Alligator mississippiensis: one gene and its partners. The protein of the gene in region 4 purifies or fractionates together with the protein of the main gene of each other region. This does not show direct contact. Links are inferred from orthologs where the notes say so. Each region holds a gene or a part of one and is shown on either strand. Other genes may lie near its edges.

Region 1 (7,534 bases), on a different chromosome or scaffold from region 4:
ACATTGGTCCCATATCAGATTGGCACTGATATAAGGAAAAAAAAGTGACAGTAAAGGCAACTGGCTTTTTTTGGCTGATGTGCTCAAAAACATGGCCAATAAATGCCCTGTGCAGGCGCAGCACACAGGTGGCAAGGAGTGCAGCTGGGTTTGGCTGGTAAGTCTGTTGTGAGTGAAGGGGGAGAGAGCATTGAGGGGGACGGGGAAGATAGAGGCCCCAGCAGTGAGGAATGGAGAGGATTGGGTCGGGGCAGGTGCCGCCCAGCTAGGGTGAGGTGTGGGATGGAGCCATGAGCGGCTCGTCATGGGGGCACAAGGTGGCTCCCGCTGCTGCACACACCCCAGAAGGGCACAGGGGGTGAGTGTGGGCTGTGTCAGGCTCTTCCCAGTGAGGGGGAGATTGAGCCGGGCTGCCCAACCTAGCCCGCTGCTGGGAAAAGCCCAGTGTCACCCCAGCCCCAGGCTCCCCTCACCCCATGTGCAGATCCAAGGGCATACCTCCCCCATGCCCTCCTGGAGTACGTACAGTGGCGGAAGCCACCTTCCCCCCACCCCGTCCCCACACATCCCAGACAAGCCGCTCCCGGCTCCATCCTGCACCCCACCCCGGCAGTGCAGTGCCTGCCCTTGCCCCAGCCCCTTTTTTTCTTCCTCACCACAGGGGCCCAACTGCCCCCCCCCCCCAATGCCCCTTCCCCCACAACAGACTTACCAGCTGGACGCTGCTCTCCATGCTGCCTGGCTGAATGTTGGAATCAGTCAATATGGCTCGCTAAAAATCAGTCATCAGTATTGGCTCAAAAATCTCTATCCGTGCACCCCTACTGAAAACAGTGCTCAGGCTTATTCTTGATGGACAGCTGCCCACAAATGCAGCAGTTTCTGACTGGTTCCAAGTCTCACTCACCTGGTACTTTGGTGCATTATTGCACTGTGGGAAGCTGCCATTTACCTCTCCATTATGTAGCAAGTTATTGTCCACCAGGTTCCAACCCCAGCTCTGGTCGTCACTGCCCAGCAGCGCCACGTAACCCTGACATTGCATGGGAGCCCGTTTTGTGGCAATTCCAATTACAGCTACCGTGCCAAGAGGGCCTTCCCACCAAACCTCCCATGCATGACGACCCTCACTGAAGCCAATCTTGGTCCTTGCCCCATCGGTGCTCTGAGCAATGGGGTTCCGGTGCAAAGTAAACCCATTCTTCTTGATGTAGACGTTCCTGGAGCAGTCATTGGTGCTGAAAGCATGATGAAAGGCACGTACCTAAGACAAGAGAGAGAGAGAGAGAGAGAAGAGAATTTTTGGACTGGAGAGAACAAACCATGAATGCAATTGTTTCATTAACATCCTGCAGCACATTTGTACTCAGTTTCAAGCAATAGTTTTTTAAAAAGCATGGTTGCATGTGATGACACAAGAAAGTAGAGAAGATGGGTTTGCTACCCAAAGCCTCTAGATACAAAACAAGCCAGAGAACCAGAGTGCACCTGGACTTCTGAGATCAGGAGCAGCTGAGCTGAGGGACAGAGAAGGCAGGCTAGAGATGCAAATTACAGATCAAGGCTAGGAACAGACGTTGCATTTGTCCCTGGACAAGTCGTACCTGTGTTTCTCCCAAAACAGAAATATCTAAGCACTGTATGTACATGCATCACCCTTTTAATAAAGGTTTAGGGAACAGCCAAATGTACCACTGTTCTTCTGCCATTGATTCCACAATGCAACTCCCAGGACAATTGTTCAGACACACTTGGCAATATCCTGGGATAAACTATTACTACTTCTCATCCCGTGAACCTTTTTAAGGATTTGTCATGGACAGACATCTGAACACTGGACTTTGTCCCAGGATAAAACAGGTTATCCTGGGATACATGCGACATCTGTCTGCAGCCTAACCAAATCAGAGAGGTGTACACTCCTGTGAGCCAATGCTCACATCATCTGCAAGCACCAGATGGGCGATGAGGACGAAGGGACACATTACATGGCAACCCCATTGAGGGCTGGGAAAACACCAGAGTCTACATGTCACAACTTGCCAGCTATTGCTAGGTCCCCTCCAAAAGTCTTGAAGTGACACCACTTAAGGCAAAGGCTAACTCTGGGCCATGCTCCCCAGCTCCAGTTAAGGTCGGCTCTACAGATACAAAGCAAGCAGGCTACTGGCCTCCAGCATCCCAGGATGCACTGCTCCCAGCACCCCCCCACTCACAGCAGGGATAGAGCCCAGGGGCCAGGCACCTGGGCATGCTCCTGCTCACCTGTCCCATAGCAGCCAGTCAGAGCTGTGCCAGCATGGAGCTGGGTGCGGGGGCTCACCTGGCCCTCATCTGCTACCAATAAGTGCCCTCCAAGCATCTCGAAGCAGCGCCACTTGAGGCAAAGGCCTCGCAGTTCCTGTTAGGGCCCCTTCAGTCTGCCCCAGAGACAGGAGCAGGCTGCCACCCCCAGCATCCCAGGGTGCACTGCTCCCAGCACCCCCACAAACCCAGAGCAGGGCTGGTGCCGGTGAAAGCCAGGGTGCCTGGGCTCACCTTGCCCCTGCCGGCTATTGCAGGTGCCCCACCAGCGTCTCCAAGTGACTCCACTTGCGGCGAGGGCCACCCCTGGGCGCGCTGCCCGGCCGGCCCCGCTGGGGGCCGCTGCAGCCTGCTCCAGGGAGCCGGGCGGGGGCTGCCCCGCTGCCACCCCGAGGCGGGAGCGCCGGGCGCCGCTCACCTTGCCCTTGTAGGTGGGCACGTTGCAGAGCACGTCGGTGCGCAGCGCCTCCTCGGCCAGGCAGCGCGCGGCCAGGCTGCGCCACACCTCGCTGTTCTCGTCGCCGTGCAGGACGCGGTGCCACAGCTTGCAGACCAGCGCGCAGCTGCGCAGCTCCCGCAGCTCCAGGTAGGAGAACACTAGCTCCAGCACCCGCCCCGGCAGCCGCCAGCCCGCGCCGCCCGCCGCCGCCATGGCCGGCGCCGGCCCCTCCCCCACCTCCGGGCGGCGCCAGCAGCCCCCGCCCGCTCCGCCCGGCGGCAAAGTGCGGGCGGAAGCGAGCCCCACGCCAGCCACGGAGAAGCTGCCTCTCACTGCCAGCACGACTCCGAGAGCGGCGGGCCAGCCATGCCGTGACGCCTCCCCCTGCCCCCGGCCCCAGGCCCCGCTGTCATTGCTTGGGCGGGAGGAGAGAGGCGAGGATGCGGGCCGCCATTTTACTTGAGGGCACAGCTGTCAGAGGAAGCCGGGCGCGCATGCGCAGCAGGGAACGCGCGGGTGGTAATGCAAGGGAGAAAAAAAGCCCTCCCTTCCCGGGTTACGTCATCAAACTGCGCCGGAAGAGACGCGAGGATGCCGAGTTGTTGGTGTGGTTGGAGGTAATTCCTCCCCTTTGTTGTCCGGCGCGGGGGACCCAAGATCTCTGCGAAGGAGGGGAAAAGCTAAGGCCCCGCTTTGGTCTGCGCGGTTGTGCCCGTGCCGTGGCCGCGCGGGCGGGGGGTCCTTACGGACAGAGGCGAAGGGAATACAGCTTCGAGTTCGTGTTTCCCGCGCGGCTCCTGCCCCCCTGCGGCCTTGGCCGGTCGGAGGTGCGGGAGGCGCTGGGGCGGGGCCGCCCAACGGGCTTCGACGCTCGTTCCCACCCGTTGTGCAGCCCCCGCGCGACGCCGCCGGCCCCGAGCTGGGAAGAATCGAAGCACCGCTCCTGGGGCTATGGGCAGCGACCCCCGCCCTGCCCACGGGCAGGTGGCGCCTCCTGTCCTGCCCAAGCACTCCCGGGCCGACGGGAGTGGGGAGGAGCTAGCTGCCAACCCACCCCATGGGCGCTGCAGCCTCAGTCATGCAGCCGCCTGCTTCTTGGCAGAACGTCTCGCCCTTGAAGCAAAGGAGAGAGCGGAGGAAGGGAAAGGAGAGGAATCCCAGCCCGCTCTCCCCTGTGGAAAGACCGGTGATGTCTGTGGGATGGGTCTTGAGTCCAGTCCTGAAGCCGCTGATGAGCCGCAATAGCGGTTGTTCTCACATCTGGGAATTGCGGACAACATTGTTAGTTGCTAAGCCACCTGATTTAGCTTTCCCTGGTAGGGGGCTTCTCTGCAGAACCAGGTGAAGCTGATGGTGTGGATCAGGGGTAGGCAACCTCTGGCACATGTGCCACATGGCATATGAAGCCATTTTATTTGGCACGCATGCCCCAGGGCAAGGATTGCACTGCCACAATAAGGATCAGGCCCCTTGCAGCTCTCCCACCATTCACACAAGCACGCCAACATCTTACAAGTCAAGGTTGCAGGTATTTTTGCCACTCAGGCCAAAAATGTTGCCAGCCCCTCATGTAGATTGAGGATGATTTAAAAAAAAAAAAAAAAAGAAAAGAAAGGAAAAGAAACTTGATTACAATCAGTCTGCCTCCTGAATCACTCTTCTTGTTCCAAATAGCAAAGACTCTCACACTGCAGTGAGTCAAATACTGGTGATCTAGTGACTGTATAGTCAAAGGAATTCGTTAAGGCTTCAGGTTGTAGCTGTCACCTCCTCTGGCCTGGACTGACTGTTCAGGTCAGAGAGGAGCAACTGCTAGGACACCTCCACTGTTTTTTTCCACCAAGGCAGGGGAGAGCAACTGATGCCAGAGCCATCCTGCCACTGAATGTTTCTGAAGCCCCACGTCTGCAGATCTCATTAAATGGCTCTGTGGGCAGGAGCTGGCCCATGGGCTGTAGGTTGCCAACCCCTAATCTAGATAGCTGCACAAGGTGGTGTAGTTCAACAATTTGTATACAAGCACTTCTAACAATGTACCATTCCACTGTTCTAAGGAGTCAGTATTGTAAGCATACAGACTGGTGTGCTTGCACTCAAACTTGCACAAGTGCCCATTTTACCTTGGACTAGCAGCTCACATGCTCATGTTATTTCATCAGCAACCCAGTAGTCTTACATACTTTGATAAGCTTTCTACTGTAATAGGAAAAACTGCCTAACTCTGTCCTTCTTTCACAGAATCCCTTGAAGCATCATGGCAGTCAAGTGGACCGATGGACATTCCTCTTCTATACTGTGCTTGAATGTGAACAAAGAAGGGCTGATAGCTTCGGGAGCAGAGGCAGGCGAGCTTGCTATCTGGAATGAGGAAGGGATTCCATTGGGACAGATACAGCTTCAGAAAGCAGATGATATCACCTGTGTAACATTCTCTCCCACCTGCCCAAGTAGGCTATACACATCTCATGGGGAAACCATTAGCTTGCTGGATGTCAGGTGCCTTAAGGGGCCTATTGAATGCTTCCACGTAAATGAGGAAGAGATCAATTGCCTTTCTGTGAATGACACAGACAGTGTCCTGGCTGCAGCTGATGACTCTGGGGCAATCAAGATTATAGACTTGGAAAACAAGAAAGTCAGCCGGTCCCTCAGGAGACATTCAAATATCTGCTCCTCTGTTGCGTTTCGACCTCAGAGGCCTCAAAGTCTTGTGTCATGTGGACTAGACATGAAGGTGATTTGTATGGAAGTAGATGGATGATTGCTAGATTTTTAAATACTGGCTGAATGGTATGCAATTAGATATTCATTCTACCTCACTCCTTTCTCTTACTCTAGGGTGGTAAGAGTAATTTCTGGTTCTTTAGCAATCTTAATGTGGTTGTATCATGATGGAAGTTCCACTGATGTAAAGGATTGCCCTTTATGGTCAGGGCTTTCAGGATCAAACCCTTATTTTAGAGGTCTATTTTAAGGCTATCTGTGAACAAATAGTGCCCCTGAAATTAGCAATAGCTATCATGGAAAAGGGGACAACTATTTTGTTTGCATTTTGCTGAGTTTGGTAAGAAAATTAAATGACAGTTTAGAACAGCCATAGGGAAATGTATAGTTTGGGTGTCAATGCATTTTAGCTTATGGAAATGAACAGCATGCAACAACTAAGCCCCTCATGGACCACAGTTTGAGATTCCTAGTCCAGTGATTCTCAACTTGGGGTGTTACAGCAGCCTAAGGTGCCTTGAAATACTTTCAAGGGTGCTACAGGGTGCCACACAGGTGTTCAACCATGATTCACAAGATAGGACCCTGTAGTGTCAAAAACATTCTCATCTGTGGTTTCTCTGAGTTCTTCCTAATGGAAGAATTGCCCCAGTATTTTTCTGTAGTCAAAAAAACAAATAAAAATTAAGAGCTGGCATTTTACAAGGGGTGCCCCTAGTCTAGTTAGGGGTGCCACAAGCCAGGGTGGGGGTGCCTTGAATCTAAAAAGGTTGAGAACCATTTTTCTAGTCTAATGTAGAAGTTCTGTCTATTGGAGTTCATAGATATTGATGTGCTGTTTATTAATGACAAAATAATGGGTTTGATAAAGACAGTTCATCAGTGGTGCAGTGATGAGCCTGAGAGATTGAGTTTAATGCTTTCAGTTCTGCTAGACTGAGAATAGTAAATACCATATGCAGACATTAGAGCAGTAGCCAAAGCCAACTATTGCATTAGTTCTGTTGGATGGCTCATAGGGAATACTTATTGGTTGTGGAGGGAGTCAGAGCTCTCATGTGGAAGCATATTTGTTGTTATGGGGCTTTTTCTGGTGGTGCTGTGTTTAAAGAGAAAAAAAAGCAACACACTTAAAAAAAAAAAATGATCTCACACCACACTTGCCTGCGGGTATCATCCCTTACCATATTACCATAATATACAGTGTTTTGGTAGTGACTGTATGGAAACTTAAGAACACCTCATGCTTTCAGTAAACAGTGTGTGAAATATGAGTTGTTCGCTGTGTGATTGATCATGGAAACCATGTAGCTAAAGTCCTTGTGTGTGGTTTTGCAAGTTGTGCTTCAAGGGTCTAATGCCAGTTAAAAATAACTTGTTTTCTCTCTCTTACTCAGCTTGCCTAGTGAAGCTACATGCACCTATTGTCAGTTCCATTTAATTCTCATGCACTAGCGCAAAGCTACAAAGGATGTAAATGAAATGGGGATATTTGTTTTTTTCTTCAACACACTGAAATTAATATGAAAAAACTTGTATTACTGGATTTTGTAAAGTAGTGAGAGACTGAAATGCTCTTTTCCATTATTCCATTATTTCACATATTCAGTGTGCTGTACAAAAAATCAGCACCCCTGTGAAATAGGCATTATCCCCATGTCAGAGAGAAAAGCAAATGAAATAGGGTACCAAAAGCCAAGAAAGTAAGCACAAACTGAATTAAAATTTTAAAATGACTCTCAATCCTATTGTTGGTCACCATTAAAACTTTCTTTCAGTTGCACAGTTTATAAGCAAGATGTTCAGTGTGTCATGGCTGCTGCTCCCCAGATGATTACTAAAGCATGAGTGATTTCTTCATCACTTTCACACCCTAAAAAGCAAAATGTTTAGCTATCCTAAAGCAAGACTGTTTCATTAGATGCAGAAAATTCTGTTTACTAAGGATGTTTTAATTAGCAGCTGACCTTCACCAGCTGTTTTGGAAGAGATGCAGGATCTGTGCAATCTGAATGCAGTCTGACATGCAAGAGGAATTTAGTGTGTAATCTTACAGAAAAGATCTCC
Region 2 (7,100 bases), on a different chromosome or scaffold from region 4:
TCAGTCTGATCACCTGCTCTGTTGAGAACAGTCTGATTGCTAGGATAGACTAAATCAAAGGGCTGGCAACAAGTTGCAAAAAGCACAATAAAACTTCGGTGTATGCGACCCGTTCCTTTTCTACTGGTTGATCCCAAGGCCAGAATATTTTTAATCATGACTGAGAGGAGCCAACACCTAACCGCCTTAGCTTAGGCCAGATCTTGTGTGCTGACACAGAGAAGAAAGCTATTTAAAGTGGAAGGAACTCCTTCCTTACTCTGTACCACTGGGGCTTCTGCATCTCTTTTGGCTCCCGCTGGGTGGTGAGGATGAGGCAGGCACGTAAGGCAGAGACAGCTCCCTCTCGGATGGCCTGTTTGGGGTCCCATACAGCCACAAAGATATTATCAAAGAATGGCTGCACTTGCTGGAAAAAGAAGGTAGGCACGCTGATGGCCAGTTCACGCAGGACGAGAACCTGGAGACAGGAAGGAAAATGGTGGTGTCAGGGAGAGGTGGGAATTTAGAAGAAAACTTCCACATGCTTGATTTGTCTTGCCTAGTTATACTGTAAGCTTTGGGAAGCATGCTGCTGGGTTTCTACAGTGCCTGGCACAGGAGCATCTGAGTCTCGGTTCCTAAGCACTACCAGAACAAATACCATTAACAGCAGACCAACTAGCCCATCCTGTAGCTCTTCAGAAATGGAAGAATAGCCATTCCACTCCCCAGCTAGGACTTCCCTCCAACCCTCTCCCCACTCATTGCATCCTTCCTCGCACAGTTCTCATCACTGCTACTCATGAGCCTGTTCCCAGGAAGGCTGAGAAGCCAGAAGAGCACTTACTGCCGCATGCCTTCGACCTTCATTCCTATCAGCTCCCAGCCACTCCAGAGCCCGTTTCACTTCAAACTCCACATATTCTGCTGTGAAGGTGTCTCCCGTCATGGCAAGGCGCCCGATAGCCTTGGACGCCATCTCCATGACAACAGGGTCATTGGAGGGGAGCAGGTTCCGAAGGTAGTTGGCAAACCTGCCGATGCGGGTGGCATTGCCTCCCTCAACACCAATAAGACTTGCTGGGGAGAAAGAGAGCATGGGTTAAGTCCTGCCAGTGGGTTAGTGTGGCAAACAGTAGCAAAATCCCTGGAAGAGAGTTCTTTCTAGGCAGCCTGGAGAGATTCCTGCTAACGCTTCCTAAACTGCAAATCCACCAGAAACATTAAGCAGCAGGAAAGGTCAGCATTCTTCCCAAGCTTGGATCTGTTATGTAAAACAGAGAAATGCATCAAAAAGGTTCCATAAGTCAGATTTTCCTTGTATTACTTTATAAAGATCCACCCTGGGAACACAGATCCATTCCAACACACCTCCATCTATATACGGCTACAATGGACCCAGGACTGAATGGAGGAGACTGTACTCTTTCAAGAGGTGGTCTCTCAAGGCCTGGCTTAAGGAACATTGGCAGGGGCAGCGTGGCAGCAGAGAGGAGCCATCAGTATCCAGGGTTGTCAAGCTGGCACCTTCCACCAGTACTAAGGTCACAGAAGTAACTTTAAAGTAATGCTGTCTGCCTAAAGTGAGATGTCATTGACAAAGATCACTCCACCTCAACGACCTCCATCATCTCTAAGCACACCGGGGTTGGTTTGGTTATGATGCTTAACTCAATCCAGAAGCTTTATGGAGTTATTAAAAAGCAAATGGTGCAGAAATGAGGGATCCATTTGGAAGGGACTGTTTTCACACGAGTTATCTATCTGTATCATGGGCTCCCAACCCCCGGGCTGCGAAGGGTTGGTTGCTGGTCCGCAGGAGGGTTGGCTGCCAGACTGGAAGTCCCGAAGTGACCGGCATACTGTGGACCGGCAACCAACCCGTTTTTATACCGAGGATAAGAAAGGGTTGGCTGCTGGCCCGCAGTACGCCGATCACTGCTGGTCTGTGGCTTACCGGTCCACAGCATAAAAAGGTCAGGAACCCCTGATCTGTATCCCCAGGAGTTGCAAAGTTTAGGCTGCTCTGCCACACAAGAACAAAAGCTCAACAGGGCAATAATCAGGGGAGATGCTACCGGGAATAAATGCAAAAGCTCCTTGGAGGTGGGCCCTGCTGCCACCGAGCGAAGGGTTTTAACGGGTACGATTATTGCTCTCAGGCCACAGGGAGCGCAGACTATTTGCACACCATGCTCACTTAACGCAGCTGAGCATCGCGGCCCGTATTTTCGTAACAACGCAGGACCACGTTCTCAAGCGCTCAGCGTGGAGACACCAGGTCTTCAGCTTGTTTGCGTCACGGGGAAGTGGAGAGCGAATCTCCCAGAGACACCGAATCCCTGCGCTCACCTATCGCCAGGATGCCCCCCTTCTTCTCGTTGGTGTCGGAGCTGGAGACCAGCTCAAATATGTGGTGATTCAGCTGGTCATAGAAGCGGGTCGACTCCTCCTGGCTCATCTGCGCAGGAAAGAGAGTTCAGGCCCAGGCGGAGCCGCCCCCGGGCAGCAACGATGCCGGGGCCTCCCAGGATCCAAACAGGCGGCGGCTTCTTCTCCCTGCCCCTCCCCTGCCCCGCCCGCCCGCCCGCCACCCCCGTCCCGGGCCTCCCAGACCCCGCGAGCCGCCACACCTCGCGCAGCTCCATGGTGACATAGTGCTGCAAGTCCTTGGCCGCTTTGGCCCGCGTCTCCTCGCTGCGGCTCTTCAGGCCGTTGGCGAACTGCTGAAGGATGGACACGGTGCCCGACATGGCGGCGGGGGCGGCTCAGGGCGTCCCGCGCAGCGGGGCCTTGGGACACAAAACCGCGGCGTTGGCACCGGCGGGGACGGGCTCCCGCACAGACCCGGGCCCGGAGCCTTGCAGCGCCAGCCGCCGGCATGACAGGGCCCCGCGCCGCGGGGCGTCGCCAGGTGACCGCGGAGGGGGAGGAGGGCACTCACCGCCTCCTCGCCGGCTCCCTCGCTCGGGCCCCGGCTCCACCCGCCGGGCCGGCGAGCAGCACCCACCCAATCAGCGCCCAGGCAGATCGGAGTGGCAGCCACCGCCGCCAATGGAGTGGGGAGGAAGGCGGGGTTCCTAGGGGAGCGCAGCCCCGCCCCCCAAGCCGGCTAGCTGGGCTGACCAATCCGGGAGCAAAAAAAAAAAAAAAAAAAAAAAAAGCGGTCCGATTGACACGGGGCTCCGCCAGTGGCGAGCCGGAAGCAGCGTGATTGGCTAGAATGCCGCACTCCCACCCCTACCGGGGAAGGTGGCCAGGCGGAAGCAGGAAGCCGCCGGGGGACGCCAGGGCGGGACACCCGTCCCTCTGCTTCCGGGTGCGTTGCTGAAAGTGTCCCCCCGCCTGCGGCCGACCAAGGGCGCCGTTACCGTAATGACCCGTGCTGCGCGCGGCGGGTTTCGCGCCCCGTGAGGCTGAGCCCCATGCGGCCTCCCGCCGCACCGCCCCGCCGGGGCCCCCTGCCGGCCCCCCCCTCTGCCGCCGCCGCGGAGCCCGCTGAGGGGATCAGCATCGGCGGCGGCGCGGAGCTGAGCGAGGCGGGCGCGGAGCGGGGCCCGCCGGGCGGCTGGAGGCAGAAGTGCGCCGCCTACGTGCTGGCGCTGCGGCCCTGGAGCTTCAGCGCCTCGCTGACGCCCGTGGCGCTGGGCAGCGCCCTGGCCTACCGTGCCCAGGCCGCCCTGGACCCCGCGCGCCTGGTGGGCAGCGCCGGCGCCGTGCTGGCCGTGCACGGGGCCGGCAACCTGGTGAACACCTACTATGACTTCTCCAAGGGCATCGACCACAAGAAGAGCGACGACCGCACGCTGGTGGACCATCTCCTGGAGCCGCGCGACGTGGTGCGCTTCGGCGTCGTCCTCTACACGCTGGGCTGCGTCTGCGCCGCCGGCCTCTACTTCTTGTCCCCGCTGCGGCTGGAGCACCTGGCCCTCATCTACTTCGGCGGGCTCTCCAGCTCCTTCCTCTACACCGGCGGTAAGGACTGGGGATTGCGGGTGCCGGCCTGGGACCAGCAGGAGTCCTGATGGCTGCTCGCGGCGTTCGCCGGCTCGGGGGGGGGGTCTGACGGCCTCTCCTCCATGTCTGCTGCTGTCCTAAAGCCACGGCCTCTGCCGTCTTGTACACGTGGGTGGGTTGGGACTTTTGAACGGGGATGCAGGTTCATGATGCGTGGGTCGGAAGGGACCTTGGTAGGTCAGAGTCCGACCCCCTGCCCTGGGCAGGAAAGAGCGCTGCTGTCAGACGACCCCGGCAAGGTGCTTGTCCGGTCTCCTCTTGAAGACCCCCAGGGTAGGGGAGAGCACCACCTCCCTGGGAACCCCATTCCAGATTGGGCTGGTGGTGCACGTGTAATGTCACGCGTGTCTTTCTCCTGTTCGTGATGAGCTAGGAGCTTTCTTCATAGGCTGTGGGGGCCTGGGGCTGGGTTGTTCGGTTTAAGGCGGAAGCAAAAACAAATATAATTCCATTGCAGTGAGTTAAAAACAGTCCGCAGGGCTGCGGAATAGGAGCTTCGGGACCAGGAGCAGCAAACGGGCAGCAGCATGGCAGGATGAAGGCTAGCTCCAGTAGTGGCACATCAAGACTATAAAAAAGAGAGGGTGGTTAACACTGTGCAATGAGGACTTTAGTAGGGATCGGGGTAGATTATAATGAGCTATGAAGTTATTTGTCTCCCTAGAAATGCTGCAGCCACTGCCAGGCAGTTAGTTGGTTTTAAACTTCGGGTGGAGCAGGAAGCAACAGGCACCAGAGCACCCCACCCCCTCCAGATCTGCCCCAGATTACACTTCACAAACAAATTACTATGCGCTGAAACTTTAAGGAAGTGAATGTGATATTTGAGTGCTTACTAGAAGTGCACCGATACATCGGTCCCATATCGGATTGGCACTGATATAAGGAAAATTGACAGTATTGGCAATTGGCTTTTTTTGGCTGATGTGGCCAATAATGCCACCGATTAAATGCCCTGTGCACGCACACAGCTGCAGCGCAGCACGCAGGCAGCCCAGAGCTCAGTCCAGCAGCGTGGAGAGCAGCCGGGTCTGGCTGGTAAGTCTGTTGTGGGGGAGAGGGGGCAGATCGAGGCCCCTACAGTGAGGGAGGGAGTGGGGTAGGGGCTGCACAGCTGGGGTGGAGTGGAGCCGTGAGCAGCCCATCCAGGTGGGGGGGGCAGGTCCTGCTGCTGCGTGCACTCTGGGAGGGCATGGGGGCATGTGCCCCCAGATTTGTGCACAGTGAGTAGGCAGGCTGCCACTATGGGCTGGGGCTGGGGCAGCCTTGAGGGGCTGGGCTGGGCTGCACTCGGGGCAGACCGCGGCGACGCTGGGAGCGGTGCCTGGGGGGCGGGCTACAGTGAATTTTGTGGTGGCTGCAGCCCCACCCCAGAGCCCCCTCCCAGTGCCACCACTGCCCACTCTGAATGCGGCCTGGCCCAGACCCCAAGGCTGCCTTGGCCCCAGCCCATAGTGGCAGCCTGCCCACTCCCTGTGTGCAGATCCAGGAGCACACGCCCCCCTGTGCCATCCTGGGGTGCTCGCCTGCTCTGCCTCAGCTGTGCAGCACCTGCCCCAGCCCCACTCCCTCCCTCATTGTGGGGGCCTCAATCTGCCCCCCATACCCCTTTGCTCCCCCCTTGCCTCTTCCCCCACAACAGACTTACCAGCCAGGTGCTGCTCTCCATGCTGCCTGGCTGCATATGAGAATCGGATCAGTATTGGCCGATATGGCCTGTTAAAAATTGGTCATCGGTATCAGCCTAAAAATTCTCTTTTGGTACCTCCCTAGTGGTTACTCTGGAGAGTGGCTCTGAAGAAGGGCTGTTGTGCCTCCCTATGGCTTCTGACCCCTTTTCACCACAAACCTGGGGCATGAACGGTGGCTGATGTGGCAGAAGGCCACCTCCTGTTTCTACCCAAAACCTCTGCTCTGTGACAATTTGGTTAGGATGGGCCCAGCAGAGGATATACACCTTACCCTATCTCTTTAGGTAACCTGAGATGGATACATTCCTGAGGGAGGGGTGGAAACCTGCTCCCTCTGCCTACGTGACTGGCACCACATACCTGGGTGAGGGCCTGGGCATCCTGGTGAGCTAGAGCCTGCCAGTCTGCCCAGCAACTAGTGATGCATTTCACATTAGTTGGCTGACAGGCAACAGGTGCTGGCCTCCATTGGACCAGGTAAATGAGGTCACAAGGGCTATATAAGTTAAGGACTGCCTAGGAGGAAGGGCAGCAGCCATGAGGAAAACTCGGAGAGAGAGAGGAGCTGGACCATCTAAAACTTGCTCGCTCGTTCTCTCTCTCTCAAAACTCATGATCAAGGAACTGCCTGCCTCCAGAGGGAATCTCCACCTGCCTCTGGATGATACTTGTAAGCTACCTGAGATCTAACTAGATGTATAGCTTGCAGTAACTCGGATGCGAGATCAAAGGCTACCCCGGCCACAGGAGTTTGCTCTATGGGATTTCTCTGATACTACTCAACTCTGTGCCCTATTCCAACCCTACCCCTTGTAACCAATAAAGTTCTCCTTTGTACCTAGTGTGGGACACTTATTGGGAGTGGGTCTGGATTATGCTGTGGGGTCCCCTTGGTTCGGCTGACTAAGGGAGACCACTACTTGTGCTTCTGACTGAGGGAAGCACCCCAAGCTCTTGAAGTGAGTCAAGTACCCTCGCGGGCTACTAGGCCTGTGTTTCCCAGAGTGCGCAGAGCCTGAATCGAGCCCATCCCTGGGTGGTGGCAGTTCTACCCCCAGGCTAGCGGGTATGCTCCAGGAAGGGGGTCGGCCAGACGTGAGACACCCTCAGGGAGGCACCCAGAGCCTGGAAGGTGGTTGGGTGCAGTGAGGTGGGTGGCTCGGCGCAGGAGCACCCCCTACTGGCCTGCCACAGCTGAAATGTATACTTCCAGTTCTTGTGATCTCTGTTCTCTTCTCCACGGGTAGAGCCTGGAATGTTTTAACTGACTCTTCCTCATGTACTTGCCAGGTCCAATTTCAAATGAAAAGGTAAATTTAGAAGTTAAAGCCAGGTTTTGTACATGAGTTAATGATGGGTATGGGGGGGGGGGATGACATTGTAGATATGTGCCAGGACAAACAGTTCTGT
Region 3 (7,518 bases), about 200 Mb from region 4:
TTAATTTTGAACCACATATATGGAAATTAGTAACTTTTAAACATAACTGCATTGAGTATTATTGACTGATACGTTTGTATATTCCTGGGGGGAATATCATAGCTAGCAAAAGCAATCAAATGAAATTCAATCTAGCTCAGAACCGTTTTAATTTGCACTAAAAATTATGGTAGAATGTTCAAGGCTTTTTTGTTTCATTTTGAAGTTCTATTTTAATGGAAAACAATCTTGTTCATTATTCTAGTTAATTGTCACTTTTCATGAATAGATTATGAAGCAATTGTGAAGCTTTCAGATGGCTTTAATGGAGCAGATTTAAGAAATGTCTGTACTGAAGCAGGTAAGGAAGAGGCTCTTAGCTTATTTGTCTCTCTATTTGATGTGCTGAGTCTGGGCACAGATATTAAACATTCATGACCTGTTTGTCTGATCTGATTCTAGCACTACAGGCAAACGAGATTCTGAAACATTCTTTCATGATCATGTTCACTGATGTGAAGCTAGTTCATTCTTGTACATGACAGTGCTGATTAAACTTGCGATCCACCTATGTTTACAGTTATCAAACTTGGTTAATATGATAGTCCTTAGTGTTTGCAGTACTATGAAATTAACTATTAAAAGAAAAAATGTTTGATACTTGGAACAGTAGTAGTTTGGTATTGTCTAGACTCCCGATAAGAGACCCATATGTTCCCATGAAGTTTAGGTATAGAGAGAAGTTTCCTGAAACTAGGTGGAACATGTCTGAAAAAGGTTAAAGAGAATCTGTTTTTAATTTCTTTACGACTCAGAGTTATTTCAGTCATGCCAAAAATGTGACTCTTTAGAATCTTCTCCGTGGTGTTCATGTTTTCTCCACTTCAGGCTTGTCTACATGGGGAAAATGGAGTTCTACAACTAATGTTATGAATAATTATTCTGCTATAATTGTATTCTGTCAGTATTGCTCCTATGCAGAAACATTATTCCAGAATAAATGTTCTGTTTCAAAACTTATGCTCGAGTTGGATGCATTAGAACACCAGTTGGTTACTCACTGAATCTACATACAGATTATGCAATACAACTTTGGTCCTTTCTGTGTGTTAATAACATAGTGCTAATAACTTTTTAAAACGACTGTTCTGCATTAGGCAGGCAAGGTTCCTTTGGTAGATGTGATATCTTCTCTTTGACCAACTGAGTAGTTGGAACGTTCTTTGCAAGCTTTTCAGCACAAGTACCCTTCTTCAGGCATAGGGAGACTTGTTGTTCTGAGATCTCCGAGGAACGAAAGAATGTGCTGTATTATTGTTGCAAGTCACAGTAATTCTATAGATATCTCACAATTCCTCAAATTCTTTTCCGCAGGTATGTTTGCAATTCGTGCTGATCATGATTTTGTAGTTCAGGAAGACTTCATGAAGGCTGTAAGGAAAGTGGCTGACTCTAAGAAGCTGGAGTCAAAGCTGGACTACAAACCTGTTTAACTTAATCATACACTTCATAATTGACTGCATGGGAAATATCAGTGTATAAAAGGAGAGAAATAACGTACCTCTTGGCTATGATCTTATTGCAGGTTTCTGTATAACACAGTAAGTTAGTAGTGTGTTTTCTGTACAGTTCTGAAACGTAACTTTTGTTGCAGCGCAAGTTAAGTAAGGAGATGTTCTACTAAAAATTACTGTGTGACTGTATAAACATACCTACATAGTTTAACTTTAGCAGATTTTAAGAAAGTCAGTGCAATCTTGACTTATTTTATATCAGTACATTTTCCTTTCCCAGAACAAATGAATAAAATTTTGTTTAAAGTAACTCTGTCCTTCCTATGTACCTCCTCTATACTTCTTATCAGAAAAATCAAATAACAGCTCTTTGGGCACATAAAGTGCAGCTTTTCTCTGCAAGTGATCATGTCTGTCCCCATATAAGTATGGTTTTTTTTTAACAACCTATGCAAAAATCACTAGAGGTCAATTCATCAGATGTAACATACCAAGAAACAGATCAAGAAATGTAATTTGCTATTTTATTGTGTAGCAATTTCATGCTGCCTGGTCATGCAGAACAGGAATAGATACTATGTTAGTATTTCACTGCTGAAAAATGGGGGGAAAGTACTCATTAGAACTAAAACTTAATTTATCACTTAATTATCTACTTAATGTTTATAGCCTGATTTCAGTCCGCAGAACTGGTTACAAATGTCCATATGTGCTCAGGGGAAAGTGCCAGAATACCACACCAAAAAGATAACACATGTAGTCAAAAGCCATTTTAATAACAAAGAAAATATTACAGTCTTTCAAAAAACATTGGACTCAGTTTCCTGTCAATCTGATCAAATATTAATTTCTAAAATATGCCAGATGGAAAGGTGTGTTCAGTACTCCTTCAAGGCCTGAATACTGGTCTGTAGTGCGTTGCTGGAGTGTAACTGAGGCCAGAATTTGGCCTAGTGCCTGTTGTCGCCACATAAACTAGAAAATGGCTACTGCAGTGGCTAACTTAAGTTATTCTTCAAACACAATAAAATAGTTCTGACTTGGAAACCAAGGTGTTCTTCCTCTTCGGGCTATGTGTCACGCTGCATTGATGTTTAAATTCTTCCTGCACCTGGAAACATGTTTGCTATGGCTTGCATTTTAACTGTACCTAAAGGTTAAAAGGAAGCATTCCAGAAGCAATGTTTGGGTGAATTTTTTATTTTTTTTATGTGTAGACCCTATTTATTGCTACTTCTAACTGTTCCAACTGGATTATTCTCTGCAGGTTCAGCTAACAAGCAAGTGTGTTTTTAGCTAGTTCTAGAAATTACCAAAAGCCACCCTATATTATTTCTGTCTTAACAATGCAGTAATTTGGAATGAATTATAGTGATGCCTCTGTTAGTTCTACAAAGGAATTCCCAGTTGAAACAGTATTACAGTGCACAGGCAATTTTTTTTCTGTAGTGTACAAGCCAAAGGTTGTCATTTTACCAAAATAAAAAGGGCATGCATGTTCATCAATGTAGGAGGAAGAAACAGGCTATTCACCTGGTGTATATTGTCAGGGGTGTGAAATGTGAATTTCAGTCATAGGGTTTCCCCATAAAATCACTTTAAATAGGGCTAAAAATCAGTATGCATTATTAACTACTACTGTTGCAGAAGCTGTGTTCTGTGTTCAGTGTAATAAAGATTTAGAAAGTTCAGTAATATTGAATGTTACTAGACAGTTGAATGTATTAAAATTGTGTTGAATGTACTGCATTAATTTGGAGACAGCAAACGGAGGAACTGACTCCTGTCTCCTTACGAAGAGTTGTCTGCCTCTTGCAGGTTAGGGGTCTCTGCAGCCGTAAGAGACCGGGTAAGATGCTATGATCCCTAGTGACTTCCTGCCCCCGGGGCCGGGGGGCCGGACTCGCTCTTCCGAGGTCCCTTCCAGCCCTAATGTCTATGAAATCGATGTGGAAGTAATGGATTCAAGTTGCAGCAAGGGAGCTGTAGGTTGTACATGAGGAAGAATTTTTCTAAGTATGAGGAACGTATTACCAAAGCTGTGGACATTTGGTCAGTGGGCCACAGTGCAGGGTAGATGGACCTCTTGCCTGGGACGGTTTATACTGTGATTGATGCTCCTGCCTCAAAAAGGGGGTTGGGCTTGATCGGTGTTTCCTGGGCGGGTCGCGCACAACCCAAAAGCGGGTCGCAAGAATTTGCAAAAGGGTTGCGAACAAACTTTTAAAAGTGGATTTTCCCTTAAAGGAGAACATGGGAAACCGTAGCCTTTCCCTTAGCTTTCCGTGCCCCACATGTACTCGGGGCCTGAGGGCGAGAGGCACTGGGTCGGGACCCACCATCGATGTTCCCACATGGGTCGAGAGCCGCCGGGTTACGCGAGCCCCCGAGGGCCCTTCCAGCTCTAGTTTTCCCAAGACCCCGAGCAGCGGACAAGGGTTTTGTTGCGCAAAGCAGTCGAGAAAAACGGAACAAAGCTCTGCCTTGCCCAAAGAGCTTGCAATCCAAGACGAGATAAATGGATACCAACATTTCTGGGCAACGGATTCACAGAGACCGCCTGGACCAGCGTGTTACAGCTGCCAAGACACGCGAATTTGAGACGTGTGGATGCGCAGCAAGGGCTGCGGGTGAGACGGGAACGGCCTGGATGCGAGCCCTATAGACGGGGAGGAGCCACCCCTCGGTGCCAGCCGGGCCAGAGCGGGGGACGTCCGTCGCCATCGGAGCGCGGCTTGAGCTCGAGACGGGAGCCGGTCTTCCGTGAGAGGAAGGCCCGGCCCCAGAGAAGTGGACAGCAAGGCGGAAGCTAGGCGTGCGGCAAGGCCGGAGGCACCATCATCCCGCGCAACCCAGCCGAGCACGTGGCCGCACGCAGCGCACCGCCGCTTCCGGGCGAGGCCCCGCCCCTCGCCCGTGACGCTACGGCCCCGCCCCTTCCCAGCGGGCTGGCGCGGCGGTTGCGGGGGGCGTGGCCGGAACGGCGGTTGCGGGGGGCGTGGCCGGCGCGGCGGGCGCGAGGCGGGGGGGAAGCAGCATGGCGGCCGGGCGCGCGGCGCCTCCCCCGGGCCCGCTGCCCGCATAGCCGCCCCCGGCCATGGAGCTGGCCCGGCCCGCCTTCCCCGCGCTGCCGCGGCCCCGCGACGACTCCGAGGTGAGTGGGCCCCCCCGTGGGTTCCCTGGGGGGTTCCCCCCCCCTTGTCACGCAGGCAAGTGCCGGCTGTCCGCGCTCCAGGGCCGAGCCCGGTGGCGCTCCTCGGCCGCGTGTGTGACAGCGCCCGCGCCCTCCCTCCCTGTGCAGTGCTGAGCACTTCACCGCTGGTCGCTTGGCTGCGCCGCGCGGCACTGCTTGTTGCGCTGCGTCGCGCCCGCCGGACGCTCGTGAATGGGTTTGCACCTGAACTCAAGGTATACGCTGTGGTTCTGGCCCCCCGCCGCGCGGCTGTCTGCTGAAAGCCGTCCCGCCTCGAGCGCGCTCGCTCGCTCGCTCGCCGCACGCTCGTCACTGGCACGGTTTTCAAAACCGACATCGCTCCCCGTGTCACCGCTGCGCAGTGAAAACCCCACATCCTAAATCCTTTTTTCTCCTCGCTCCTTCTCTTCACTTTTTCCGTGCGTGCGGTGCCGACGGGAAGGAAACGCCCGAGCTGCAGAGAAGCGTTCAGGAGCAGGGTCCAGAATGACTTGTTAGACCGAAAGACACCATTTCTGTCCGTCCTGTTTTACTAAGCTTAGTTTTCTTTTTACCAAACTTTGTATTTTTGTGCTTGACTAAAGCATCCTTTCAGCGCCCCGTTTGCAGGAGGGCCGAGGGGCCGCGGTATGTGGACTTAACGCTCGTTTTAAAAACATTTCAAGCGAATAAGTTGAGGAACAAACCTAAAACCCCTAAGTTGGCGTGCAGACCGGTGTGCACGGGATGTGTTAGAAATCGGTGAATTGAGAAAAATGGAGAGTGGCTCGGTGGCAGCGGAGATGTCACCTTTTGTGCAGCGCTGTGAGAAGGCAGAGTAGCGCGGAGCTGAGATTCCCGTATCCTGGGCATCTTGGGGTGGATTGAGGGACTTCAAAGGAGTGTCCTGTTTGGGGAAAGGATGCTTTCCTCAAATTCCTGTTTCGGATAGGCAGTCAGGACTTGCAGTACTACGGTGCCGTGTGGCTGCAGCCTGGATACCCGTTTCTGGTAGGAGCACCAGGATCGTCCCTTGTGGTCGCAGTGGATCCTGCCTTCTGCAAAGTGAAAGCGTCGCCCTTTCATTTCTCTGAGCCAGGTAGTCTTCGAGAGTGCTGTAAAAACGAGCAGGCCAAGTTTCTGGTCAGGTTACTTTTTGTTTGGGGCGGTTGTCAGAGATCCAAGAAACCCTTCTTTAAGGCCAACTGTTATGGCTGCTGACCTTGGCTAGAGGTATTTTCGCTGGGAGCAATTCACTGCCCCCTTTAATCAGCCGTGAGGGTTATATTAGAAGATAAAAGGGACACGGTTACCGGCTGAGAAGAGGAAAGGGATTGAGCGTGCCTGAGTTTGCTGTCTTGTCAGAAATCAATGGACTGGAGCTCCTAATTGGCTTTTCCAGGTGAGCAGTAAAGCTCGCTTTTAGTGAAATAGCTCTCATTTTCTAATTTAAATTAGTGTTCATGCAAATGAGGAGCTAAATCCCCATCTTGAGGTAGGCATAGTACAGAGAGGTGCTCTGCACGCTTCTGCCGGTGGGTGTCAGCCCGGGTGTGCATCGCCACCCCGTTCCACCCGGGTACACGGACAGCGGTCGCACCCAGTGGTGCAGCTTTGTGACTTGAGCTAATAGGGTCTTGCGTGAAACCACCTTTGCCGTTTTCACTTGTAATCTGATTAACATTTGAACCAGTCTTTCCAGTTGATCATGCTGCTACGTGGGTTCCTCAACAGGAAGTATTTTTCTTTATTGTGTACACTGTAATGCGCAGTGATGTATATGCCACAGTTTAGTAGGTATATCTAGTAGGTGTGCTGGATGCATGGGAGCAATAATCAGCATTTCTTCATTTGTATTGATGTATAATGTAACATGTCAACGGTTTCTGAATAATATTGATTATACATGCTCCAAAATGATTTTTAGAATTAAACTCAACGCTTTTTAAAAAATAATAAAACAAGTATTTAGCCTAGATCCTGTAATATTTTTTATCGCATTCTGTTAAAATATCAGAAGGTCCATAAAAGGAAAAATTGAGCTAGCAATCACTTATGCTTACTTACCTTAAAGGAATATTGACTAGTAGCTTAGGTCAGAAGTTTGTCCTGCCTTAAATGTGATACTTATTGCTCTAAATTTTGAGCACTTACTATATCTTACTCAATTTTGAGCACTTACTTAATCCTTCTGTTCAGATACTGAGGAGCTAAATAAAATAGTCGTAATTTAGGGGTGTAAAAATAATTTTTCTTTTTGGCTGGGCAAAAGCTCTCCCTTGCTTCAGTCCAATCAGCATTTTTCGATGTCATTTGTTTTTTTTTTTTTGTTGGGTTTTGTTGTTGTTTTTTTTTGCTGAAAGAAAAGTAACCACTTCTGAAGCTTGTCACCTTTAATGAAAGCTGATCAGTGGAAATGAAGGGCTGGGTTAGGCATGATTCAGAAAAATGGGGTGGAGGCAGAGGAGGACTCCGTTATCCCTTTTGCTCAGTTCCTTCCTCTGGGTGTGTCTACACCAGCTGTTTACTGCATTGTTGACTAATTAACTGCAGTAAATGTTTCAGCATCTACATGTGCACCCCTGTTAGGGCACACAAAACGAATAAACTCTGCATCAGGCTAGCACTTGCAAATACAAGCACTGCCCTGCTGCGGGTTCTTCCGTGTGCAATGGTGCACGTGTAGACATCGACCTGGATGACTGGGGCACAAAGGTGCTTATAGTGCAGGAGCTGCCTGGTGGCTAGCCTGGCGCTGAAGAGCCCTCACGCCCCAGCCAGCCCTTCCGCAGCGCGATGAGCCCAGTTGGAGCGTGGCAGGCTGACCTCCCCCAGGCTCCCTGCCAGCCGGGG
Region 4 (7,597 bases):
TGGAAGCTGCCTAGCTGCCAGTCAGGAAGCCTTAACAGTGACCAACTGGTTACTCAGTTGTAGGAGGGCTCTCAGATACAGCCTCTGGCAGGTTTGGCCAGCTAGGCAATTAAGCCAGGCTGTGCTGCCTCTGATGCTGGAGAAGCTCTGTGTGGAAGCCAGTTTATCTCTGTGTCTCAGTTTTCCCATCTGTAAAATGGTGATCAGGATACTGACCTCCTTTGTCAAGTACTTTGAGAACCACTTGTGAAAGCTGGATACTATTATTAAGACAAGGCATAGCCAATACCTTACTGCACATCCTGGAGACCTAACCAACTGCTCTTGTATCTTCCTAGTGTTTCCCTCAGATCAGGCCCTGGATATTTTAATACTGTATGCAGGATCCCTCTGGATTTTGGATAATTTAATCCCTAAAACATTGTAATTATAAACCACTGTGACCATTGTGGTTTATGGTCTTCACAGCTGCAGACAAAATATGCAGGGTTTTAAATGCCCTTGGATGGTAAAGTTCCTGGAAGAATAGCCAAGTTTTCCTGGGCTTAACATTTCACTGCCTGGGGAAGAAACACTTCAGCTAAAGACATCTACTTTTTTATGGAGGCTGCATGGGATAGTAGAGATATGAGGATGGATTTAAGACTGTGTGGAGTATCTTAGTGCTGCATTTCTATACTTTTTACCTTTTTACCTTCTACATTTGAATTTAATGGCTTTTAGATCTATTTTTATCCAAGCTTAGTGACCCTGCCTATTATTAAGATTGTCTGATGCTATCCTTTAGAACATAGAGGAGTCTAGTAGGCAAGGGAGAAACTGGTGAGGAAAATTAAGGGAGAACAAAAGCCTGAAGTGAAACTGTGATCAGATGAAGTGCCAAGGGTCTGGCTTGGCTAAAAGACTAGGACTAGGGGGAGTGTAATAGTGGAGAAGAAACAGATCTGACAAGGAGAGAGAGTTGGGATTGGAGGAAGAAAAAATAGCTTCTTGTAGTTAAGAAAGAAAACTACCCCAGAGAATATTTTAGCCATGCTTCTACTACAGAGATCCTTTGTAAAGTACTTTCTTTTTGAAGAAGTAACTCAAACCAAACTTATTATAGATGGTTAGTAATTATGCATCCCTCATTTTCTGAGCTGGATGGGCCTGACTTGCAGTGCTGAGCACTGGCTTCTACATTTGAACTCAATAGGTCACTGTTTTGGAGTATATAAAGTGATATATAATGCCAAGTTCTCTGAACAACCAGCATTTTAGATTAGGCACCCAAAATTAGTGAGCGTTTTTACCCATCTCTCTGCCTCAGCTCCTCATCTGTAAAATGAGGATAATAACAACTCCGGTATCTCACACAAGTTTTGAGAAGATAAATGTATTAATGTTTGTGAAGCTCTTGGCTGCCATTGGAATAGCTTATAAAAAAACAAAGCAGTACATCCCTGTCTCTGTATGTCAAAGCAAGCGGTGTTTTAAAGGCCTAAGTCTTGGTCCACTGACCAACCCTCTCCCTTTATCCAAGCCATGAACTGGTGCTGTTTTGCATGGGACTGTTATCTAAATTTTTACGTAAGTTGTACCCTGGGGACACTCCTAGAGATGTACTCTGTTCAAGTAGGAGAAAACTGAAATGCTTAATATAGAACAAATACATATGAAGAAAAATTGACAGGTAAGTCACCAGTGCAGTCCACCACAGGCAAGGATATGGGACGTGGACCCAAGACTGAAAATTATCCTGATGGCAGTAAGACATTTGTACACCTGTCAGGGAAAATGACACCGCCAGATTCTTGCTGAGACTCATCACGGGAGTGGGAATGGGAAGGGAAGCTGGCACCTGAAGAGAGTGGGAACTAGGGCTAATTGAACACGGAGACCAAGACAAAGATGAATAGCCTGAAAAGTAGAGATGTGCCACTTGAGAAGCTAGAGCGCATGAGAGAGGGACTGGTGCTGTACGAAGGTTTGGCCATATTTGATCATTGGAAGATATTCATAGAACGAGGACCCTTCTTGATAAATGGAAGCCATCTGAATTCCTGTATGTGCAAGTTAATCACAGGATAACTACAAGCCACTAACAGCTTGTAGTTACAGCTATGAACAAAGCAAATGCAAGCCTAAAATGTATAGATTAGGTATTCCAGTAGAGACTGGGTTGTATTAACTGGACAAGAAAGCTCAGGTGTTTCTGCATGGCACTGCAGTGCATTGTCATCCCACAAAAGGAGAAGTCTAAGAAAACAGAAGAAACTTCTGTGGTGCTCAACCTTTTCTCCCTGCAGCCTGGATGGGCAGCACCTAGTTTGACTGTGGGCCAGGTCTGGCCAGTAGTCCTGATCCAGTGCCCAAGGCAGGCATGGCAGGCACCATTCAGCTACATGGAGGAGATGGAAGGGGCAGGTTGGCTCCAACTCACCCCTGCAGGAGAAAGAAGCTTGATTTGGCCCCACTGGGGGAGGAAGTGTGGCCCAGCCTTAGCCTAGCACTAAGGGAGGGGCCCTGACTAGGCCCAAACCCAGCCCGGGTGGAAGTAACCATGCCTTGCCCCAACCTGGCCCCAGGGGTGTGTGTGGCCCAGCTCAACCTAGAAGTGGGGGGAGGGAGTATGGAATACCAGGGGTACACCTGGGCTCTGACCAGACATGAGAGGCTTGGGTTTGGGGAATTTGGCAGGGGGCAGGGTGGCCATCTCTCTCTTGCTGCCAAATTTCTGGACCTATGGGGAGTCCCATGGGCCAGATGAGATGGCTCTGTAGGCCATATTTGGTACGCAGGCCAGTGGTTAGGACTCCTAGTTCATAATGCTGATACTTGCATCCCTGTTTTAGAAAAATTCAGATGAAAAAGCAAGGAGATGACAGGTTTGAAAATGCATTGGCTAACATTTAACCTCTATAATCATTGGTACTTTTTTTTCCCCTTACATGTGGTTAAAGTTCTTGTTAATTTCACTAGTGATTTCAAAATAAGAGCAATTGCATAGCATTTAGACTGATGTAGAAGCACGAGAGAATACGAGATTTAAATTTAAAAGAAGCATACTTATGTAGATACACAGTAAACACAATTATGTTGGACATAAAAGCAAGAGGATTCAGGCACTGGTCCTGCTTTCCATCTTCTGTCTACAAAGAGCACCTGGAGCTCTCAAAAGAACTTTTCTTTAGGACCCTAAAAACTAGAGACAGACACAGCATATAACCCAAAATGACTTTCCAGAAACATTGCAGCCTAAGTCAGCCAAGGCCTAGTTGCCAATAGCTATCCTGCTGGCATGAGAAGATGACAAGGGTGCTTTTTCAGTCTCTGAAGCAACCCAAGCTAGGGTGGGAGACCAGCAGTACTTGTTTCCTCTGTGATCTGATGTTGACTGTTGATGGTAAAAACTTGTGGTAGGAAACCAAATGTTTTCACCACAATTGCAGAGGAAAGGGAGGTTGATATCAATGTGCTTTATGAGCAGAGCTGAAATTCTGGGTTAAAAGGAACTGCTGTATGGTTCTGTAGAGGGCACGGATGAAATAATCTTCTTTCCCCTTTTTCTTTTCTGTTGCTGATTAGTAGCGAGCTGGATGCTTCCATTGACAAAAAACATAACACCAGCACCACAGGCTTCCAGTGGCAATTGTGAAAGACAGTTGCCTGGCATCTCCCATTTAGTGACACGCCAGACCAGGGCATTACCAAGAGTGGCAACTACCAGCCTGTTCCACTGCATCAAGCACTGGGGGCCACACTTCCTTTTTGGCAGGTGTGCAAACTGGCCCCACCACTCCTTGAGTACCACTCTAACCCCCGCGCCTTTCCCTTGCCTATGGGGGTGCTCTGCTTTCTGCTCCCTGCCTCACCTGCTGCCCTGCTTTCTGCTGCTCTGCTTTCTCCTCCATATAGTGCTCTGCTCCCTGCTAATCTGTCGCTGGGTTCCCTGTCCCCTCCGGGGTCTGCTGCACGCACAGGCTGCCCATGCCTCCGGCGGCTGGCAGTATGCTGCAGGTTGGCCGCTCCCCATTATAAACTAGGGAGCAGATTTGGCTTGCGTTTCCAAGAGCAGGTGAAGGGGGAGCCAAGGGCGGGAGTAGAAGGCAACCTCTTACAGCATTCTCCTGCCCACGAGCAGCGGTCCCGCTTGCCCCTCGCAAAGCCCGTCCTGCTGCCCCCTCCTTTCCCCTTCCCCCGCTCTGCGGCGCGCACCGCGACCCGGAGACCCCCGCCGCCCCGACCCCTGTAAAGACCCCCGGGGGGCGGGACAGGGCGCTAAGCCATTATGCCTGCCTCTAGGGAGCAGCCCTGCTCCGCGTCACGAGACGACTTGCCCCTCAGTCAATCACAGCGGCAACCCAGTGCCGTAGCAGCATTCAAAGCCCAAGCCCCGCCCACTGCTTCTACTCGGCGAGGGCGGGGCTCCGCTTCCTTCGTCACCGCCCCTTTGTCCCGGCCTGAACCAACCCCGCCGGCGGCGCTTCCCCCCTCCCTGACGTCATCGACCCGCGCCCCCGGCCGGGGGTGTGGCCTGTTGCCATAGTGACCAGCTGTCATCTCCGTGCGCCGCGGCTCCCTTCCCCCTCCCCCCCAGCAACCAGCTCTCCCTGCCGTCCCCACCCCCGCCGGAGCCTCCCCCCGGGGCTTGCCCCGCGCCGCGGCTCACCCATGCCAGAGCGCGGCGCGGCGGCGGTGCCTCGCCCGGCCGCCCCCGGGGCCCCGCGGGGCCCCTAGCAGCGCCCCGCGCCTCCGCCCGCCTCAGCGTGCATGAGCGGGGGCCGCGGCCCGGCCCCGCCGCCGCCTCCTCCTGCCCGGTCCGGCCCGGCGGCGGCTCCATGTGAAGGCCCCCCCCTCCCCGCCGGGGCACCCCGCGCCCCCGGCCCCGGCCCGGCGGGGGGAGGCTCCCGCGGCCCCGCCACGGCGAAGGAAGCAGCCGCGCGGCCCCTGACGTGAGTAAACGCCGGGCGCGGGGGAGCACGTGGGTGCGGCGGGGCCGTTGGGGGCAGCGCCCCGCCCCGCCGTCGGGGCCGGCTGTCCCGGGTCTTTGTCGAGGCAACAAAGAGCTGCCCCTTCGCAGCCAGCCGCGGGGCCGGCCCCCTCGTGGCCCGCGGGGCGGGGGAGTGCCAGCCCCCTCTTGGCTCGGCCCCTCTCAGGGAAAGACCCCTGTCCCCTGCCGGAGCCAGCGGTGGCTCTTCCATGGGTTGCCTGAGCTGGGGGTGCGGAGGTGGCCTGGGCTGGGGGGCTTCTGAAATCCTTTGAGGTCAAACCGGCTCCAGACGGGCAGTGCTTTCCTGCCTAGGAGCGTATGGGCAATGGGAAAGCCTGGCCCTCGGTGCTTTCTGCCTAGGAGCGTGTGGGCAATGCTTCTGTGCCGCCCTGATGCGGGGAGTTGAGTGTTGCCTTCGTAACTTTCCTTGTTTCTGGGAGGACCAAGGAACTTGAACTCAAATCATCGCCCCCTTCCCTGCTGATCCGAGCACCCATGGGGATAGGTGGCATCTTGCCATGCTTAATTTATGCATCTTCAGAAAAAGCAGCGTGGGTTAGTTCAGTCTGACAGTAACATTTCTCAATCAGGTGCTGCAGCACCTTGGGGCGCCTGGAGATCTTTACCAAGGTGCCACATGGTGCTAGCATGGCGAGGCGTGCACTCATGATGCACGTGATGGCTTCAGAGATTTCAAACAGGCATTCGGAGCATTACAAATGCTTTGCCCGTTCAGGCTTTCTGGGTTCTCAGCTTTAGTCTTTTTCTGTTGCCAGAAAACCAAGGGAAAGCTAAGAGCTGGCATTTTCTGAGAGGGGCTTCTAGTCTTACTGAGAGGTGCCTCAAGTTTTTAAAAAAGTTGAGGACAATTGCTGTAGCATCCTTGGCCAGCAGCTGTTGGCGAGTTACAGCAGTCAGGCGTTATCCCACCACACAGGCTCTGAATAATTTAAAATCTTTGCAGGTTGCGTTTTACATTTGAGCGTTTGGTTTGTGCGCGCTGGGTGTGTTGTAAGGTTGTGGCCAAATTAAGTGTGGTTCTAGCGCTTTGATTTACATGGTAGGCACTTCAGAAGTATTGGCTCTGATGTAGTGCGGGAGTTTGTATAATTTTCATTATGAGTATTTTTTCCATACAGAAATCTAGAAAAGTATGATAGCAAACTCTAGCTAGGTAATTTCCCCTTGCTTGATATTTTCAATGAATGGCATAGAAGGTCAACAGTTGACACACTTCTATCTAAATTCTGGTATCAGCTAGGAATATTTTAATTGAAAGACCTTGTTCCCTGTCTCCTGCCCGTATGTTTGCTGCATACATTTGGCAGCAGGTAGAGTCAGTTTCCCAAGTTTGTTTATAGCCATTTTTTCACTGGGAAGGAGTTGGAATCTAAATCCCATTGATTTCTTTTTTCTCCTTGGGTGGTTCTGTTTGTTTTCAGACTCTTATGATTTAAAGGGCAATAACGTATGCAGAGACAACCAGATTACACGTGTTAATTGCACGCCAAGCTTGTAGAACCAGACTTTGAAATAGATTGTATAACCTCCAAAGTGGTTAGGCAGGAAGAAGTAGAAAAGGTACCTGAAACTTTAAAAATCCTTTCAAGTCAATCAGCTTGAGACAGGCAGCGCTTTCTTGAACAGGAGTATGCGTACAACACTCCTGTGCATCCCATATGCAGTGCATTGAGTGTTGCCTTCATAACATTCCTTGCTTCTGTGAGCACTGAGGAACTTGAACTCACTTTACCACTCCAATTCCCTGCCATTCCTGGCATCCATAGGGATAGGTGGCATCTTGCCACATTTAATTTATATATGTTTAGAAAAAGCAGTGTGGGATATTTCAATCTGACCATAATATTTCACCGTTCTCTTAACACAGTAGCTTTTTGTCACATCTTGACTCCAAATTAAATGTATTTTTCCCTTCCTGTTGCTGTTCCCCTTCCATTTTGCAATAGCCACTGTTCTTTGTATACTAAAAAAGTTATGTTCCTACCTGTTAGAGCCATTTTTACAGTATTGTAGGTGTTCAGTATAGATCACCTTGTGAAAGCAATTCATATTTGCTGTTTAAAATGGAATAACGCTATTTTTTTATATTTGCATTACCCTCTTTGTTCTCAGTGTGACCAGTGAGTCTCATCTTATTCATTATTACATTGTTGTTGGGTAGAAACCCAAACTGAGAGAAAAATACTTAAACATCTTATAAAAAAAAATTGAGCTCCATTCATGGTAGCTATTACAAACTATTTCCTTCCTCCCCAAACTGAAAATAACTTGCATTTCTTCTTGGGTAGTCAAATTTTACATTACCCATGGCAGACACTCACTGTTTTTTTTGGGGGGGGATAGTGTTTACATGTTCATTCTTCTAAATAGAATGTCAGAAAATGTAGGGTACAGGAGGACTCCTTTTGGGCCTACCATCCTCTTTACACAGAGGGGCACTGTTGCCAGTCTGGCTTTATAAAAGAAACTTGAAATAACACATGACTTGTCTGAAGTATCTGGACTGTAATTAGTCTGATACTTGAGCTTGTTGACTCTTGCTCTTAAGACCATGCAACTCTGAACTGATTTTGCATATACACCATTAGCATACCTGATATCAAA

The links.
Region 1: the proteins of FBXW7 (region 4) and FBXO45 purify together in Homo sapiens (affinity purification with mass spectrometry; 4 studies listed by BioGRID and IntAct, counting the BioPlex papers as one, with this or other methods). This does not show direct contact. The link is inferred for Alligator mississippiensis from reciprocal best matches to the Homo sapiens genes FBXW7 and FBXO45.
Region 2: the proteins of FBXW7 (region 4) and MTOR purify together in Homo sapiens (affinity purification with western blotting; 9 studies listed by BioGRID and IntAct, with this or other methods). This does not show direct contact. The link is inferred for Alligator mississippiensis from reciprocal best matches to the Homo sapiens genes FBXW7 and MTOR.
Region 3: the proteins of FBXW7 (region 4) and STYX purify together in Homo sapiens (affinity purification with western blotting; 4 studies listed by BioGRID and IntAct, with this or other methods). This does not show direct contact. The link is inferred for Alligator mississippiensis from reciprocal best matches to the Homo sapiens genes FBXW7 and STYX.

Annotation. Positions count from the first base shown.
Region 1 is NC_081830.1:36,875,635-36,883,168, forward strand, and holds the start of FBXO45 (F-box/SPRY domain-containing protein 1), read right to left. Parts: upstream 3,010-7,534; 5' UTR 2,957-3,009; coding exon 2,723-2,956; intron 1,265-2,722; coding exon 908-1,264; intron 1-907. Other genes in the region: WDR53 (WD repeat-containing protein 53), read left to right, coding at 4,998-5,477. UniProt on the Homo sapiens protein: Component of E3 ubiquitin ligase complex consisting of FBXO45, MYCBP2 and SKP1. Functions in substrate recognition but also plays an important role in assembly of the complex.
Region 2 is NC_081836.1:12,052,133-12,059,232, forward strand, and holds the start of MTOR (serine/threonine-protein kinase mTOR), read right to left. Parts: upstream 3,004-7,100; 5' UTR 2,927-3,003; intron 2,898-2,926; exon of another isoform or gene 2,775-2,897; 5' UTR 2,736-2,774; coding exon 2,616-2,735; intron 2,444-2,615; coding exon 2,335-2,443; intron 1,063-2,334; coding exon 830-1,062; intron 461-829; coding exon 260-460; intron 1-259. Other genes in the region: UBIAD1 (ubiA prenyltransferase domain-containing protein 1), read left to right, coding at 3,408-3,957. UniProt on the Homo sapiens protein: Serine/threonine protein kinase which is a central regulator of cellular metabolism, growth and survival in response to hormones, growth factors, nutrients, energy and stress signals.
Region 3 is NC_081825.1:300,614,917-300,622,434, reverse strand, and holds the start of STYX (serine/threonine/tyrosine-interacting protein), read left to right. Parts: upstream 1-4,508; 5' UTR 4,509-4,590; coding exon 4,591-4,647; intron 4,648-7,518. Other genes in the region: PSMC6 (26S proteasome regulatory subunit 10B), read left to right, coding at 269-340, 1,354-1,472. UniProt on the Homo sapiens protein: Catalytically inactive phosphatase. Acts as a nuclear anchor for MAPK1/MAPK3 (ERK1/ERK2). Modulates cell-fate decisions and cell migration by spatiotemporal regulation of MAPK1/MAPK3 (ERK1/ERK2).
Region 4 is NC_081825.1:96,225,151-96,232,747, forward strand, and holds the start of FBXW7 (F-box/WD repeat-containing protein 7), read left to right. Parts: upstream 1-4,592; 5' UTR 4,593-4,934; intron 4,935-7,597. UniProt on the Homo sapiens protein: Substrate recognition component of a SCF (SKP1-CUL1-F-box protein) E3 ubiquitin-protein ligase complex which mediates the ubiquitination and subsequent proteasomal degradation of target proteins.